2 linked regions of the Anolis sagrei genome follow. The protein of the gene in region 1 binds, or shares a complex with, the protein of each later gene. Links are inferred from orthologs where the notes say so. Each region holds a gene or a part of one and is shown on either strand. Other genes may lie near its edges.

Evidence for each region.
Region 2: the proteins of PARP1 (region 1) and SMYD2 are in contact, whole or in part, in a crystal structure (PDB 9CKC), measured with the Homo sapiens proteins. The link is inferred for Anolis sagrei from reciprocal best matches to the Homo sapiens genes PARP1 and SMYD2. Residues at the interface, in NP_001609.2 of Homo sapiens: Thr526, Leu527, Lys528, Gly529, Gly530, Ala531; in NP_064582.2 of Homo sapiens: Thr105, Leu108, Val179, Asn180, Cys181, Asn182, Gly183, Phe184, Thr185, Glu187, Leu191, Ser196, Ala203, Met205, Tyr240, Ile241, Asp242, Ser257, Tyr258, Asn380.

The regions. Positions count from the first base shown.
Region 1 is NC_090021.1:39,857,555-39,865,606, reverse strand, and holds the start of PARP1 (poly [ADP-ribose] polymerase 1), read left to right. Parts: upstream 1-4,991; 5' UTR 4,992-5,079; coding exon 5,080-5,199; intron 5,200-8,052. UniProt on the Homo sapiens protein: Poly-ADP-ribosyltransferase that mediates poly-ADP-ribosylation of proteins and plays a key role in DNA repair.
Region 2 is NC_090021.1:33,551,201-33,558,892, reverse strand, and holds the start of SMYD2 (N-lysine methyltransferase SMYD2), read right to left. Parts: upstream 3,056-7,692; 5' UTR 2,967-3,055; coding exon 2,782-2,966; intron 1-2,781. UniProt on the Homo sapiens protein: Protein-lysine N-methyltransferase that methylates both histones and non-histone proteins, including p53/TP53 and RB1. Specifically trimethylates histone H3 'Lys-4' (H3K4me3) in vivo. The activity requires interaction with HSP90alpha.

The DNA of each region.
Region 1 (8,052 bases):
CTTTGAAGTGTTTGATTCTTTCTGATCCTATTGTATATACTCAGAAATCTGCTTAACCATTTTAACGACTGAAGTTGGTCTCCATAATACCCATCCATCCTGCTCTCCTTCTAATAGGGAAAGTGTTTTGCTCCTTTTCCTACTCATAACTGAAGAACTATTTTTCATGAACTCCCTAAAATCCTCTTACAGAAAGTCAGGCTTTACCCAGAACACCGTGAGGGACACCACCCATTTGAAAAGGGGTACGAGTCTGGAAACCAGGGTTTGAATCCCACTGGGCCACACAAACCCATTGGGTGACTGTTCTGCCCTGGCACTAGCTATTTATTTGGAAGGTGTCTGTGGTGCAGGGATCAGAATGAATGCTACACATTTGAAGTGCACACAAGAATGTATTAAATAACAGATCTCAGATTTCCTCTCCTCTTGAATGTACTGTCAGTCTTTTTGAGGGGAGTTAAAATCCTTGAAGCATAACCACAGTTCTGACTGGATGTTACTTTAATATGACTTCAATTGGATTTCAGTCTGTTATATCTCTGACATGGCTTTACTTTGTGTCTTTACTTGCATAAAACTTTGGTGTAATGTATTTGGCTTTGATGTGACAATGTAAAGCTTTGATGTGATGGTGTATTGCTTCGACATCACATTCCATTTTTTGGATCTTTCCACTTTCCTTACTCTTTACTTTCCATCTACTACACTGGCTGACGGCTCAAGAAACCAGGAGGGTCTTGGCTGAGGCTCCGCCCCTGAGAAGAGTATTAAAAGGACAGGGTGAGGGAGGTTTCAAGTACAAGGAGGAAGAGGCTATCTAGACTAACCCCCCAAAATACAGTGTTCCCTCACTTATCACAGGGGTTCCGTTCCAGGACCACCCGCGATAAGGGATGCCATGTTAATTTTAATATTTATACATTATTTTATATATTTTATATATTATTTTCTTATCTGTGCTTCCTTACCTGCCTCCCGGCCCATCCCAAGAGCACCTGCCTGCCTCCCTGGCCTCCACAATGCCTCCGGAGCCATGCAGGCAGCACAGGCCAGGGAGGCAGACCTTCCCCGCCACACTTTCGGGGTCTGTGGAGGCCAGGGAGGCAGGCCTTCCCTGCCATGCCTCAAGCCGCTTTTGGGGTCCCTGGCGTCCACTGGATGTAAATATTTAATATTTAATATTTTTATTAATATTTTCAAAAACCTACGAAACAGCGGGTCTGCTAAAAGTGAACCGCAAAGTAGCGAGGGAACACTGTATACATAATAGGGGTTCAACAGGAACAAACAGTGGGAAATCTTGCGGAAGCACAACAGTGACCCTGGGCAAGTCACATTCTCTTGGCGCCAGAACAATTTGCAATAGGTTTGCCCTAAGAAGTTTGTAAATCAGAAATGACTTAAAGATACACAACAGATGCTGCAATACGGTATTTTATCTTGAGTCAGCCAGAAGGCCCTGAAAAAAAATCCTTAATAGCCTGACTCAGGGGTTTCACATATATTTGAGGGAGCTTTGTTCTGCAAAGCAGTGTACACCTAATGGTAATACTACAAGTAGTATAACCTTAGACATGTTGTCTCAGAAGTTAGTACCATTGTGGCTCCATCTACACTGCCATATAATGATTTATGTAATACAGGTCAGTACAGCGAAACTGCACTATGAGTTTACTGATTAAGGGTACATTTAACTCCAAAAGACACATTCATCAAAAAGGAATTTTCACTCTGCAGCCCTTGGATCCAGATCCTCAAAAGCAAATTCCTTGCATTTTGAAGTGCTTCGATATTTTTTTTAATCGAGATGGTATTCAAACTGATTTACAGACGATTTTCACATTCCATAGATTCTGAATTCATGGATTCAATTACTCACAGTTAATTACTCACAGTTAATTACAGTAATTTTTGTAAGATATAATTTTATTAGGTTTGCTGGGGTGCATTTCTACTGTACAATAACAACAACAACAACAACAACAATAATGGGTTGCTGTGAGTTTTCCAGGCTATATGGCCATGTTCCAGAAGCATTCTCTCCTGACATTTCGCCCACATCTGTGGCAGGTATCCTCAGAGGGTATAAGGTCTGTTTGAAGCTAGGCAAGTGAGGTTTATATATCTGTGGAATGTCTGTTTGAGGCAAATGTGAATGTTGCAATTGGCCAGCTTGATTAGCATTGAATAGTCTTGCAGCTTCAAAGTTCTTTCTCCCACTGGACATTCCTCCAAGGGGAACTGAACCACCTAAATTGAGCTCTACAGGCCAATGGATACTCCACCACAGACATCAGAAGAGCTGCAAAACCAAGAACAAGCCACAAGAGTAAAGACAAAGATCCACCCAGAGGAAAAGTGTTCTTGCTATACATCAAGGGAACCATCGACCGCATAGGGAAGCTGAGGAGGAAACACAACATACAAATAATCTACAGACCCACTAAGAAGATCTAACACATGCTGCGTTAAGCAAAGGACAAGAGGGATCCTCTCACTTATTTATTTATTTATTTGCTATACTTGTATTTGCTATACTTCTCAGCCTAGCCGGCGACTCAACGCGGTTTACAACTTATAACAAACAACAGTATACAGTTTAAAAGCATAAAAACACGATCCACAATACATATATCAATAAACAATCCAATTCATCTCTTGACTAAAATCGCGATCCAGTTTCGTAGTCCAAATTGCCAGTCCTTCAATCATTACACTTATTGCACTGAGTTAACCGAACGCCTGCTCGAACATCCAGGTTTTTAGTCTTTTCCGGAAAACCATCAATGAGGGGGCTGATCTTACCTCCATGGGGAGGGCGTTCCACTTCTGCAGGAGTCTACCGTATACCATGCAGCTGTGGACAAGTCTACATAGGGACCACCAAACGCAGCGCCCAAACACGAATCAAGGAACATGAAAGGCACTGCAGACTACTTCAACCAGAGAAGTCAGCCATAGCAGAGCACCTGATGAACCAACCTGGACACAGCATATTATTTGAGAACACAGAAATGCTGGACCACTCTCACAACTACCATATCAGACTGCACAGAGAAATAATTGAAATCCATGAGCATGTGGACAATTTCAACAGAAAGGGGGGGGAAAGAAAATGAACAAAATCCCACGCCAAAGTTCCCTGTTGGCCGTCACCACCCCCAGCTACTTCAGAGTCAAGCCAAGCACTTCAAGGATACCATCCATCCATTTTGCCCTTGGTCGGCCCTCTTCATTTTCCCCAGCATAATTGTCTTCTCTAAGCTTTCCTTTCTTCTCATGATGTGGCCAAAGTACTTCATCTTGGCCTCTAATATCCTTCCCTCCAATGAGCAGTTGGACTTTGTTTCCTGAAGTATGGACTGACTGGATCTTCTGGCAGTCCAAGGCACTCTCAGAACTTTCCTCCAGCACCACAGTTCAAAAGCATCTATCTTCCTTCGCTCAGCCTTCCCTATGGTCCACATCCATAGGTGACTATGGGGAATACCATTGCTTTAACTATGCAGATCTTCGTTGCCAGTGTGAAGTCTCTACACTATTTTATCAAGATTGGTCCCAAGAAGTAAGCGTCTCCTGATTTCCTGACTGCAGTCTGCGTCTGCAGTAATCTTTGCACCTAGAAATACAAAGTCTGTCACTGCCTCCATGTTTTTTCCCTCTATTTCCCAGTTGTCAATCAGTTCAGTTGCCATAATCTTGTTTTATATATATATATATATATATATATATATATATATATATATATATATAACTGCAACCCAACGTGAAGGCAGTGACAGACGTTGTATTTCTACGTGCAATCAGGAGATGCTTATTTCTTGGGAGGAGAGCAATGTCCAATCTTGATAAAATAGTGAAGAGTAGAGACATCACACTGGCAAAGAAGATTCACACAGTCAAAGCAATGGTATTCCCCATAGTCACCTACGGATGTGAGAGCTGGACCATAGGGAAGACTGAGTGAAGGAAGATTGATGCTTTTGAGCTGTGGTGCCGGATGAAAGTTCTGAGAGTGCCTTGGACTGAGAGAAGATCCAACCAGTCCATACTTCGGGAAATAAAGCCTGACTGCTCATTGGAGGGAAGAATAGTAGAGGCCAAGATGAAGTACTTTGGCCACATCATGAGAAGACAGAAAAGCTTAGAGAAGACAATGACGCTGGGGAAAATGGAAGGAAAAAGGAAGAGGGGCCAACCAAGGGCAAGGTGGATGGATAGTATCCTTGAAGTGACTGGATTGACCTTGAAGGAGCTGGGGGTGGTGACGGCCGACAGGGAGCTCTGGTGTGGACTGGACCATGAGATCACGAAGAGTCGGAAACAACTGAACGAATGAACAACAACATAAGGCTCCTTAGCTCCTCCTCGCTTTTGGCCATCACAGCGGTATCATCTGCATACCTAATGTTAATGTTTCTTCCATCAATTTTCACCCCAGCCTTGCATTCGTCAAGCCCCGCACATCGCATGCAAGTTGAATAGGTTGGGTGAAAGTATACAACCCTGCCGCACGCCTTTCCCAATCTTGAACCAGTCTGTTGTTCCATGGTCTATTCTGACTGTTGCTACTTGTTCCTTATACAGATTCCTCAGGAGAGAGACAAGGTGGCTTGTAATGCCCATCCCACCAAGAACTTGCCACAATTTATTATGATGTATGAGTTGCAAATCTACAACTCCCAAAATCGGATGACATTGAGCCAGTGGAGATGGAATGAAATCCTAGTCATTGTACTGGACGATCCTTTGAGCAGGACATGGGAAACTACAACTCCCAGAACGTGCTTCCTTGCAGGACCCTTTCGGCGATCGATTAGGCATGCCGCGTAGGAGGGAGGCTTTTAGAACGTTGCCCGGGAATCAGCTCTGCTGATTCCCGGGCAACGTTCTAAAAGCCTCCCTCCTACGCGGCATGCCTAATCGATCGCCGAAACGGATTGAGAGCAGAGCCAAGCAGGGTTCGATCTCTCTGCGCTCGGCATTGAACTGCGAGAGCCTGGCAAGAGCCTCCAATGCGCCGCGTGCTGCCCCCATTGCTTTTGCTGCTCGCATCCTTCCCTTCCTAGCACAGCCATGGCGGAGCCTGCAGAGAAGCAGTACCGCGTCGAGTACGCCAAGAGCGGCCGGGCTTCGTGCAAGAAATGCGGCGACAACATCGCCAAGGACTCGCTCCGCCTGGCCATCATGGTGCAGGTCAGCCTTTCTTGTTCCTTCTCGCAGCCGGGAGCAGCGCCACGTTGCCTCGCAGCCTCAGGCCCCATTCGCAGGGCAGCCTGGGGTCAGTGCAGACTCCTATGTATCATGCAGCTCTTGCACATGAGCCTAAATTGGGGCATCACTCATGCACGGAACACGCCCCCTCTTTCTATTTATTATGTCGCCTCTGGGAAGGTTTTGCTGCTCTTCACTGCAGGGAGGGAGTGGGTAGATAAGATATCCATCTGGGAGTCATGATTATCATTGCATTTATCTATGTTTCACTTATCTATCTCTCTGGAAAAAAGAGACTCAAAAGATTCTCACAACACGAAAAAACAATGCAAAATTGGAGCTTGTTTCTGAAGCGTTTTTAAAGAAATAATTATAATACTAGCCGTCCCCTGCTATGCGTTGCTGTGGCCCAGTCTGGTGATCTGGAAAATGAAGTAATGAGAAAGTGTTTGTTTCTAAAATATGTAATTTCTTTATGCTTGTGTGTAAACAGTATTTCTTATTGGGTTTTTTTTTTTGTCAGTGTTGATGTGGAGAGTGTCTGGAACATAAAACCTACTCTGGAACATAAAACATATCATTGTCCTTCTTTAGGGGTCCCTTTCAAATCTATGATACTATATCTCTGTGTGTGTGTGTGTGTGAATCTGTATAAATAAAAATGTAATGTTGGTTTGTGGGCTTAACATAACTCGTAAAACACTGGACAAATTGACACAAAATTTGGACACAAGACACCTATCAGGCCAACGAGTGGCCATCACTCATAAAAACACTGAAAAACACAGCAAAAGAAACTTAAAAAGCAAAAAAAAAAAAAAAAACAACCCCACATTACAATGCATGCACAAAACCACACGTGTGCACACACACACACATACATAAACACACATATATATGCACACAAAACACAGATACACTAGGCCACAGCAAAGCATGGCGGGGGGGGGGGCTAGTCATATATATCTATATCTATGACTAGATGGCTCTTTGTCAGGAGGGCTTTGATTATGTTTTCTTGCCCTGATGAAGAGAGTTGGACTGGATAGCCTTAAGTATTTTCTGTTGGTCATGGGGGTTCTGTGTGGGAAGTTTGGCCCAATTCTGTCGTTCGTAGGGTTCAGAATGCTCTTTGATTGTAGGTGGACTATAAATCCCAGTAACTACACCTCCCAAATGTCAAGATCTATTTCCCCAAACTCCATCTGTGTTCATATTTGGGCATATGGAATATTTGTGCCAAGTTTGGTCCAGATCCATCATTGTTTGAGTCCACAGTGCTCTCTGGATGTAGGTGAACTACAACTCCCAAACTCAAGGTCAATGCCCACCAAACGCTGCTAGTATTCTCTGTTGGTCATGAGAGGCCTGTGTGCCAAGTTTGGCTCAATTCCATCGTTCAGAATGCTCTTTGATTGTAGGTGAACTATAAATCCCAGCAACTACAACTCCCAAATGACAAAATTCAATTTTTTAAAATGATGGTCACTCATTGGGTTAGTAGGTGTTATGTGGCCAAATTTGACGGCAATTCGTCCAGTGGTTTTTGAGTTATGTTAATCCACAAACGAACATTACATTTTTATTTATATAGATAAAAGCCCTGCTGAAAAGATGCATTCTTTGGCTATAGAATGCCATGTTCCAAGCACTGTATAAGTGGTTTGATACATTTTGATAGTTTGGATCAGTACAGAGAATAATATTGTAATATAGTAACACTAATATATTGGCATTGTACATGTTTATGTATCCATACTGTACACTGCTCTGAGTCCCCCCTCAGGGTGAGAAGAGTGGTATACAACTGCAGTAAATCAATAAATAAACAATAACTCCCAGGATTCCATAGCATTGAGCCAGACCAGTTAAAGTGGTATTAAACTGCATTAATTCAATGATGTAGATACAACCATAGTCCTGCTTTGCCATATGGTGTGCGCTCGCCTACCTTTTAAAGAAAATGTTTAAGGCTGAACTATATAGTGTTTTTAGGCATGTTCATAGAATCATAGAGTTGGAAGAGACCTCATGGGCCATCCAGTCCAACTCCCTGCCAAGAAGCAGGAAAATCACATTCAAAACACCCCCGACAGATGGACATTCAGTCTTTGTTTAGAAACCTCCAAAGAAGGAGCCTCCACCACACTCTGGAGCAGAGAGTTCAGAAAGCAAATGTTTCATGATCTCAAACACACATGTGGATAATTTTGGGTCATTTTGGAATTCTTGGTAAAGAATGCTCAAGCTATACTTAAATTATTTGCAGAGTCCGTCTGTAGTAGATTTAAAGAGGAGCATATTGTTTTGAATTCTGTAGGAGATACTTGTTTGAACAGGATTGTCTATAGATCCCTCCAGAATTATGCTGTTTTTCTTTCTCTTGGATGTAGCAGTTATAATGGATTCAAAGCACTTAGCAAATACAAGGACTTGCATTGTCCTTACTTTTTCTGGGCAAGACTTCTTGCTATACTTTTGCATGAAAGTTCTTGCAATCTTGATGCCCAGGGAGCCAGGAGTGCTAAACATTTTCATTGTATTTTGTTATTGGGAGAAAGGTCTCCTTGTAATCTAGTCTTCAGAAACATCAAGACAGTAGTCCATTAAAAAAAACCACACACACAGTCAATGCTCCACATTCACTGAAAATGAAGGAAGGGAGCAATTTTTTAAAAATTACCTAAGGGATTACCTCTCTAGAAATCTCTAGGTCTTCTATCCTGACTCCTTTGGAAGCACTGGGAGACTTACAGGTGCCTTGAGAAGTAGTTTCTCTAGATGGTCCAATCACATATTTATGACCCCATCTACACTGTTGTATAATACAGTTTG
Region 2 (7,692 bases), about 6.3 Mb from region 1:
CACATGCATACACACCTACTGATGCACATTCAACAACCACCTACAAGGTGAAAACAAGAAGACAGATGCTTTTTTGAGCTGGTATTCATTGGTAGTTTCCCATCCAAGTGATAATCAGTGCTGATCCTGTTCAGCATCCTAGATGAGACTGGATCTGGGGCCTTTGCAGTATGCACAACTCACAATACTGTGAGTCATTAGGGTTTGGTTCCAGGCCTGCTGTTGATACCAAAATCTGTGGATGCTCAAGTCCCATACTATACAGTGACATAGTAAAATAGTGTCCCTTATATAAAAAGACAAAATCAAGATTTGCTTTTGGGATTTGCCGGGGGGGGGGGGGGGGGGGAAGATATTTTTCAAGCTAGATAAAGATTTTCCACTGACATTAAGTCCAGCTGTTTCCGAGCCAGTGTTTTCCGTAGACAACACTGGCTCAAAGTCATGTGGTTGGCAGGACTGCATGGAGCACTGTTACCTTCCTGTCAGAACAGTACCTGTTGATCTACTCACATTTGCATGTTTTTGAACTGCTAGTTTGGCAGAAGCTGGGGCTAATAGCGGGGGCTCATGCTGCTCCCTGGATTTGAACCTGCAACCTTTCAGTTAGCAAGTTCAGCAGCTCAGCGGTTTAACCCACTGCGCCACGGGGTGCTTCCATTTTAAAGCTATGGATGGTCGAATCCATGGATACAGCAGGCTGATTGTGTATTATTTTTCTGAGATATTGCAGTCATTGATATTCATTATCAGTTTCTCATTCAAGATGTGACCAGAGCTGATCCTGCTTAGGAACCAAGATCAGACAGAATTTGTTGCTTTTAGTGTATTTACAGTTCACAATATGGCAATATCTTGTTGCTGAAACTATCTCCTGCACTGCCACATACATATACACCTGGAAGAAAGGACAATCTTATTGAGATATTAAGGCCTTTAGTACTCAATTGCAGTTTTCCGTGCACATTTTCTCCTACATTCCCAAATAATAGACACAACCAGCTCGAACAACCATGAGTGCATCTGCACTGTAAGGAGCCCTTGGTGGCGCCATGGGTTAAACCCTTGTGCCGGCAGGACTGAAGACTGACTGGTTGGAGGTTCGAATTCAGGAGGGTGCAGATGAGCTCCCTCTGTCAGTTCCAGCTCCCCATGAGGGAAACTCCCACAAGGATGGTAAAACATCAAAACATCCAGGTGTCCCCTGGGCAATGTCCTTGCAGTCTCCAGTTCTCTCACACCAGAAGCAACTTGCAGTTTCTCAAGTTGCTCCTGACATGAAAAAAAAACCAACAACACAGAAACATGGATGAAGCAGGACATGGGTGCATCTACGCTGTAGAATTAACACAGTTTGACACCACTTTAACTGCTATGGCTCAATGTTATGAAATCAATGGAGTTACAGTTCTACAAGGACTTGACTCTTCTCTGCCAAAGTCTGCTGGTGCCTCACCAAACTATAACTCCCAGGATTCCGTCGCATGATGCCATGGCACTTAAAGTGGTGTCAAAATGCATTATTTCTACAGCGTAGATGCACCCATGTCCTGCTTCATCCATGTTTCTGTGTGTATAGATGAAAATAATCAATGATAAGATTATGATGGGTTTTAATTCCGCATTGGATGATTCAAAACACAAAGAAACTGCATGCAAAACATGGCAAAGAAGTTGGAGAAAGGAAATGGATGGAAGCAGAACTCACACAATCACTTACAAACCCCGCATAGGGTGTGTTGTTCTTCATATTATTGTGTGCCTCCTCTCAGAACAACCCTATGATGGAGTTTTCTGTGGCTGAGAGGGTGAATTCATCTTCCACATCAGGCATGGGCAAACTTCAGTCCTCTAGGTGTTTTGCACTTCAACTCCCACAATTCCTAACAGTGTAGGTCAATGGTTTTCAACCTGTGGGTTGCCAGATGTTTTGGCCTTCAACGCCCAGAAATCCTAACAGCTTGTGAACTGGTTGAGGTTTCTGGGAGATGTAGGCCAAACCACCTGGGCACCCACAGGTTGAGAACCACTTTTGGTCATGTCAGGAGTGACTCCTGGTGTGAGAGAATTGGCCGTCTGCAAGGACATTGCCCAGGGGACGCCTGGATGATTTGATGTTTTTATCATCCTTGTGGGAGGCTTCTCTCATGTCCCTGCATGAAGAGCTGGAGCTGTTAGAGGGAGCTCATCTGCCTCTCCCTGGATTCGAACCTGCGACCTGTCGGCCTTCAGTCCTGCCAGCACAGGGGTTTAACCCACTGCACCACTGGGGGCTCCTGAGAACCACTGTCCTATGCTGTTAGGAATTGTGGGAGTTGCAGTCCAAAAACACCTGGAGAGCTGAATATTGCCCATGCCTGATCTACACTGTAGAGCAGGCCTGCCCAACTTGTAGCCCTCCATGTGTTTTGCTGGACTTCCGCTCCCAGAATTCCTCACTATTGGACAAGGGTGTTTGGGAATTGGCGCCCCAAACACCTGGAAGGGCTTCAGTTTATGCAGGCCTGCTGGGGAGTTAATGCAGCTTGACACCAATGGGGCTCAATGCTATGGGGGTTGCAGTTTTACCAGGCCAAACTATAACTGGCCAGGGTGCCAAGAGCATTGAGCAGGGAAGAAGAGTGTCAGCCAGGACGCATTCATCCCGCAGCAGCCCTTCACTTGAGATGGAGGATGCCGGCGCTAGGACCCGGGGGGAAATCCTGGGGCGCTGACGCCGCCCAGGCCGAGGCTTCCTGCCGGCCTCTGCTCCTTCCCTCTCCTCGCCTTCCTTGCCTTTACCTGGCGAAGCAGCCCTCGCAGTGGTTGCCCCTCTCGTTGACGGTGAGGACGCAGGTGAAGGCCGGGCAGGCGAAGAGCAGCTCCCCGGGGACGAAGCGGCGCCGGGCTCGGAGACCCCTGCCTCGGCCGGGGCTCTGGAAGCGCGCCAGACCCAGCTCCTCGCCTTCCTTTTCGGAGGAGCGCATGGCGCCGGTGCCGCCGAGGAGGAGGAGGAGGAGATCGAGGAAGAGAAAGAGGAGGAGGAGGAGGAGGCTGGCCCGTTGCTATTAATGGCGCGCCGTCACCCGCAGCGGCGCCTGGCCCCAGAGCCCAAGGCACATACATGGGCAGAGAGAGCGAGAGGGGCAGGCGGAGCAGCAGCAGCACCACAGCCAGCCGTCCACGGGAAGGAGGGCCGCGCCAGCCCGCTGGGTCCTAGAGCCCGTCCGCAGACATGCGCGCTCTAGGACCCAGCGTTTCCATCCCCGCCTAGGTCAAGCGTAGGCCTCGTCGGTAATAGTATGATAGCTGGGTCTGGAAGTGCAGAGCGTTACGGAGAGGCCGCATCGCTCCTTCGGGAGCGCAGTTTGTGGAAGAGAGCCTTAGCTAATGTAAGCCAGGCCGGAGACAGATACTATAGAAGGAATGAAGGAGTTCTTTAATTTATTTATTTATTTGTTTATTTACAGTTCTTATATTCCACCCTTCTCACCCCGCAGGGGACTCAGGGCGGATTACAGTAAACACATATATGGCAAACATTCAATGCCAGTTTGACAAACAACATTTAACACACAAATACACTGAGGCTATTTAACTTTTTTCTGGCCGCCAGGGGAGCTGCTGCTTTTCATCATCCATCAACGACACCGATGAAGTTCTTCCGCATTCCACATTCCCCGGAGTCTTTTTTCTTTATGGCCTCATAAATTAGTTAAATTTAGCCTCCCACACAAGGTGGTACCTTATTTTCCTACTTGACAGATGCAACTGTCTTCCGGGTTGCAAAGGTCGACAACGGGCTACACAATGGCTGGACACCCACTCCAGCCCGGGCTGGCTTCGAACTCATGACCTTTTTTTGGTCAGAGTGATCTTAATGCAGCTGACACTCAGCCAGCTGCACCACAATCCCGGTGAAGCCCTTACCCTAACCCTTACCATAACCCTTACTCTAACCCTGAACCGTACCGTAAGCCTAAGCCTTTACCCAAAACCATACCCTAACCTTTACCCAAACCCTTACACAAACCCTAAACCTTACCCTAACCAAAACCCTAACTCAAACCCTAAATCTTGCCCTAACCCAGTGTTTCTCAACCTGGTGGTCGGGACCCCTGAGGGTAGCCGGCTTCAGCCCCCCCCCCCCCCCCAAATTCTCATGGTGGTTCGCGAAACGTTCTTACTGGTACATTATTTAAACTGTTATGTTTATTCATATCATGATCTGACCACCATACTCAATATATCCCATTTGCATGGGGGTATTGGGGTAATGATACAAAAGGTTTGCTAGGCTAGACCCTCTTTCACTCAGACTCAGCCCCCCCCCCCCGCCCCCCCGAAACAAAATCCTGGTTACGGGCCTGCCCTAACCCTTACCATAACACTAATCCTAACCCTGAACTGTACCATAAGCCTAACCCTTTACCCAAACCCTAAACCAGGGGTCTTCAAACTTTGTAAACAGAAGGCCAGGTCACAGTCCCTCAAACTGTTGGAGGGCCGGATTATAATTTGAAGTAAAAAAAAGGATTCGCATGCACACTGCACCTATCTTATTTGTAGTGCAAAAACCACTTAAAAACAATACAAAAAGTAAAATGAGGAACAATTTTAACATATATAAACTTATTAGTATTTCAATGGGAAGTGTGGGTCTGCTTTTGGCTGATTAGATTGGATTGTTGTTGTGTGCTTTCAAGTCATTTCAAATTTAGGATGACCCTGAGCGAGGGCCGGGTAAATGACCTTGGAGGGGCCCCGGGCCTTAGTTTGAGGACCCCTGCCCTAAACCATACCCTAACCCAAACCCTAAACTGTACCGTAACCCAAACCCTAAACCTTGCCCTAACCCTTACCCTAAGCACCCCCTCCTTTTTATCCTTCCTTCGCTCTCCCCATGCTCACTCCGCCCCCTCTCTTCCCTTATTCACAGCCGCCTTTGCGGCATCTCCGTAATGCTCGGAGCTTCCAGACCCAGCTATCTTACTATCACCCTGGACCATACTGTAAACCTAAGCCTAACTCTTTACCCAAACTCTTACCCAAACCCTAAACTTTACCCAAATCCTTACTCTGAATGCTAACCCAAACCCTAAACCTTACCCTAAACCATAACCCCTTACCCTAACCATAACCCAAACCCTAAACCTTACCCCAACCCTTACCCTAAGCACCCCCCGCTTTTTATCCTTTGCTCTCCCTACTCTCACTCCGCCTCTTCTCTTCCCTTATTCAGAGTCGCCATTGGGGCATCTCCATAACACTTGGCGCTTTCGGACCCAGCTATTGTACTATCACCACCTCGTCTGTGCTGACCATGCATTCAATGCAGTTTGAAGCTAGCTGCAAACCGCATTGTCTGAACTCCTGTGCAAAGCTGCTTCCTATGGTGCCTGAGGGGATTTCCACACAGGCCTATAACCCAGAATATCAAGGCAGAAAGTCCCACAATATCTGCTTTGAACTGGGTTACCTGAGTCCACACTGAGATAATATGGGATTTCTTGCCTTGATATTCTGGGATATAGGGCTGTGTGGAAGGGCCCTGAGTCTGGGTGAACGATATAGCAGCCTAGATTCATGCAGTCCTGTTCAACTGCATTATATGCCATTGTAGATGGGGCCACAGAGCAAGAAACACCCACAAAAGAGTGCAAAATGAAACGCTTCAGTGCTTCATGGTTTGCGGTTCCATCTCCTCTGCCATGTAATGGAGTTTTGAAACTGCATTATGTAGTTAGTGTAGGCTCACAATGCAGTTGAATGGCATTATATGAGTCAACACCAACCTGGAATTGTGCTATGTAGTCAGTGTTGGCTCATAATGCTATTCAACTGCATTATATGAGTCCACACAAACCTGAAATTGTATTATGTAGTCAGCGTAGGTTCACAGTGTCGTTCAATGCAGTTAAATGGCATTCTATAAGTCTACACCAACCTGAAATTGTATTATGTAGTCTAGTCAGCATAGGCGCACAGTGCGGTTCAGTGCAGATAAACGGCATTTTATGAGTCTACACTGACCTGAAACTCCATTATTTAGTCAGCGTAGGCTCACAGTGTGGTTCAATGCAGTTGAATGGCATTATATGAGTCTACACCAACCTGAAACTGAATTATGTAGTCAGTATTGGCGCATAACTCTGTTCAACTTCATTATATGAGTCTAAACTGATCTGAATCTACTTTATGTCATCGGTGTAGACTCACAGTGCTGTTCAATGCAGTTAAACGGCATTACATGAGTCTATACTGACCAGAAACTGCATTATGTGGTCAGTGCAGGCTCACAGTGCGGTTCTATGCAGTTAAACGGCATTATATGAGTCTATATCGACCTGAAACTGCATTATGTAGTCAGTGTTGGCTCATAATGCTGTTCAACTGCATTATATGAGTCTACACTCACCTGAAATTACTTTATGAAGTCGGTGTAGGCGCGCAGTGCTATTCAATGCAGTGAAATGTTATTATATGAGTCTACACTGACCTGAAACTGTATTATGTAGTCAGTGTATGCTCAAAGTGTGGTTCAGTGCATTTAAATGGCATTATATGAATCTACACCAACCTGAAACTGCATTATGTAGTCAGTGTAGGCTCACAGTGTGGTTCAATCCATTTAAACAGTATTATGAGTCTACACTGGCCATATAAGGTAGTTTCAAACTGCATTATATGGCAGCATAGGTGGTGCTCATGTCATCACCATCTGGGGCCCCAAACTGATTCCAGGATTTCTGGTGTAATCATTTGCACAGCGAAACCACTTTCTTCAATACTGGTTTGAAACTAAATTAAATGGTCTGTGTAGATGGGGTCCAGCTCCTCGCTCAGAAAGGAGACCAGATTGACATTAAGCAAGTGGTATAAGGGGGAAAAAATTAAAGGGACAGGACAAAAAGTGCAGAAATATGGGCAGCTAGCCCTGTGTGGGTATGTAGGTATAAGTATATATGTATGTATATGTGTGTGTCATCCTAGCTGCCAACATTTTTGGACTCTTGTCATAATACAAGGTGTTCACTAAAAGGTATGCATCCTTGTTGTATACATTCCAGTGTACACAATCCTATATATACATAGATATATATATATACATACATTCACATATACACATAGGAGTTATACAATAACAAAGTGTATAAATCTGTATATAGGTATGTGTCTGTGCACACACACACATCTACACACACACATACGCATACATACACACACATATACACACATACACACAGAAATATATTCAATAACAAGGTTGCATACATTTTAGGGCACATTTTATTTATTTATTTATTTTATTTAAGGCATTTATATCCTGTCCTATCTCAACCACCGCAGGGGGACTTAGGGCAGCTAACAACCAGCACAGCACAGTGCCAACAACAGAGAAAAACAAGCATAAATATACATATTATAATAAAAACAATGTAAAGCATGAAAGCAGTTTGCCCTGTATATATGTATGGGTTTGTCTGTGTGTACATTTAGGGTTTTGACTTTTGCATATTTGATTGGTCATGGATTTCATTAAAATGTTCTTTAAGAAAATCTAGGTCCTTTAGTTCAATTATATGATTAAGTTACTCTAGTCATGAGGGGAAACATAAGAGAGGTGTCCTCTGTAGGAATTTCCAGGTCTTCCAATGCTATTACAAGTCCACTTCTAGCTAATGTTTTTGATTTTCACAGGAATCCCCTAAC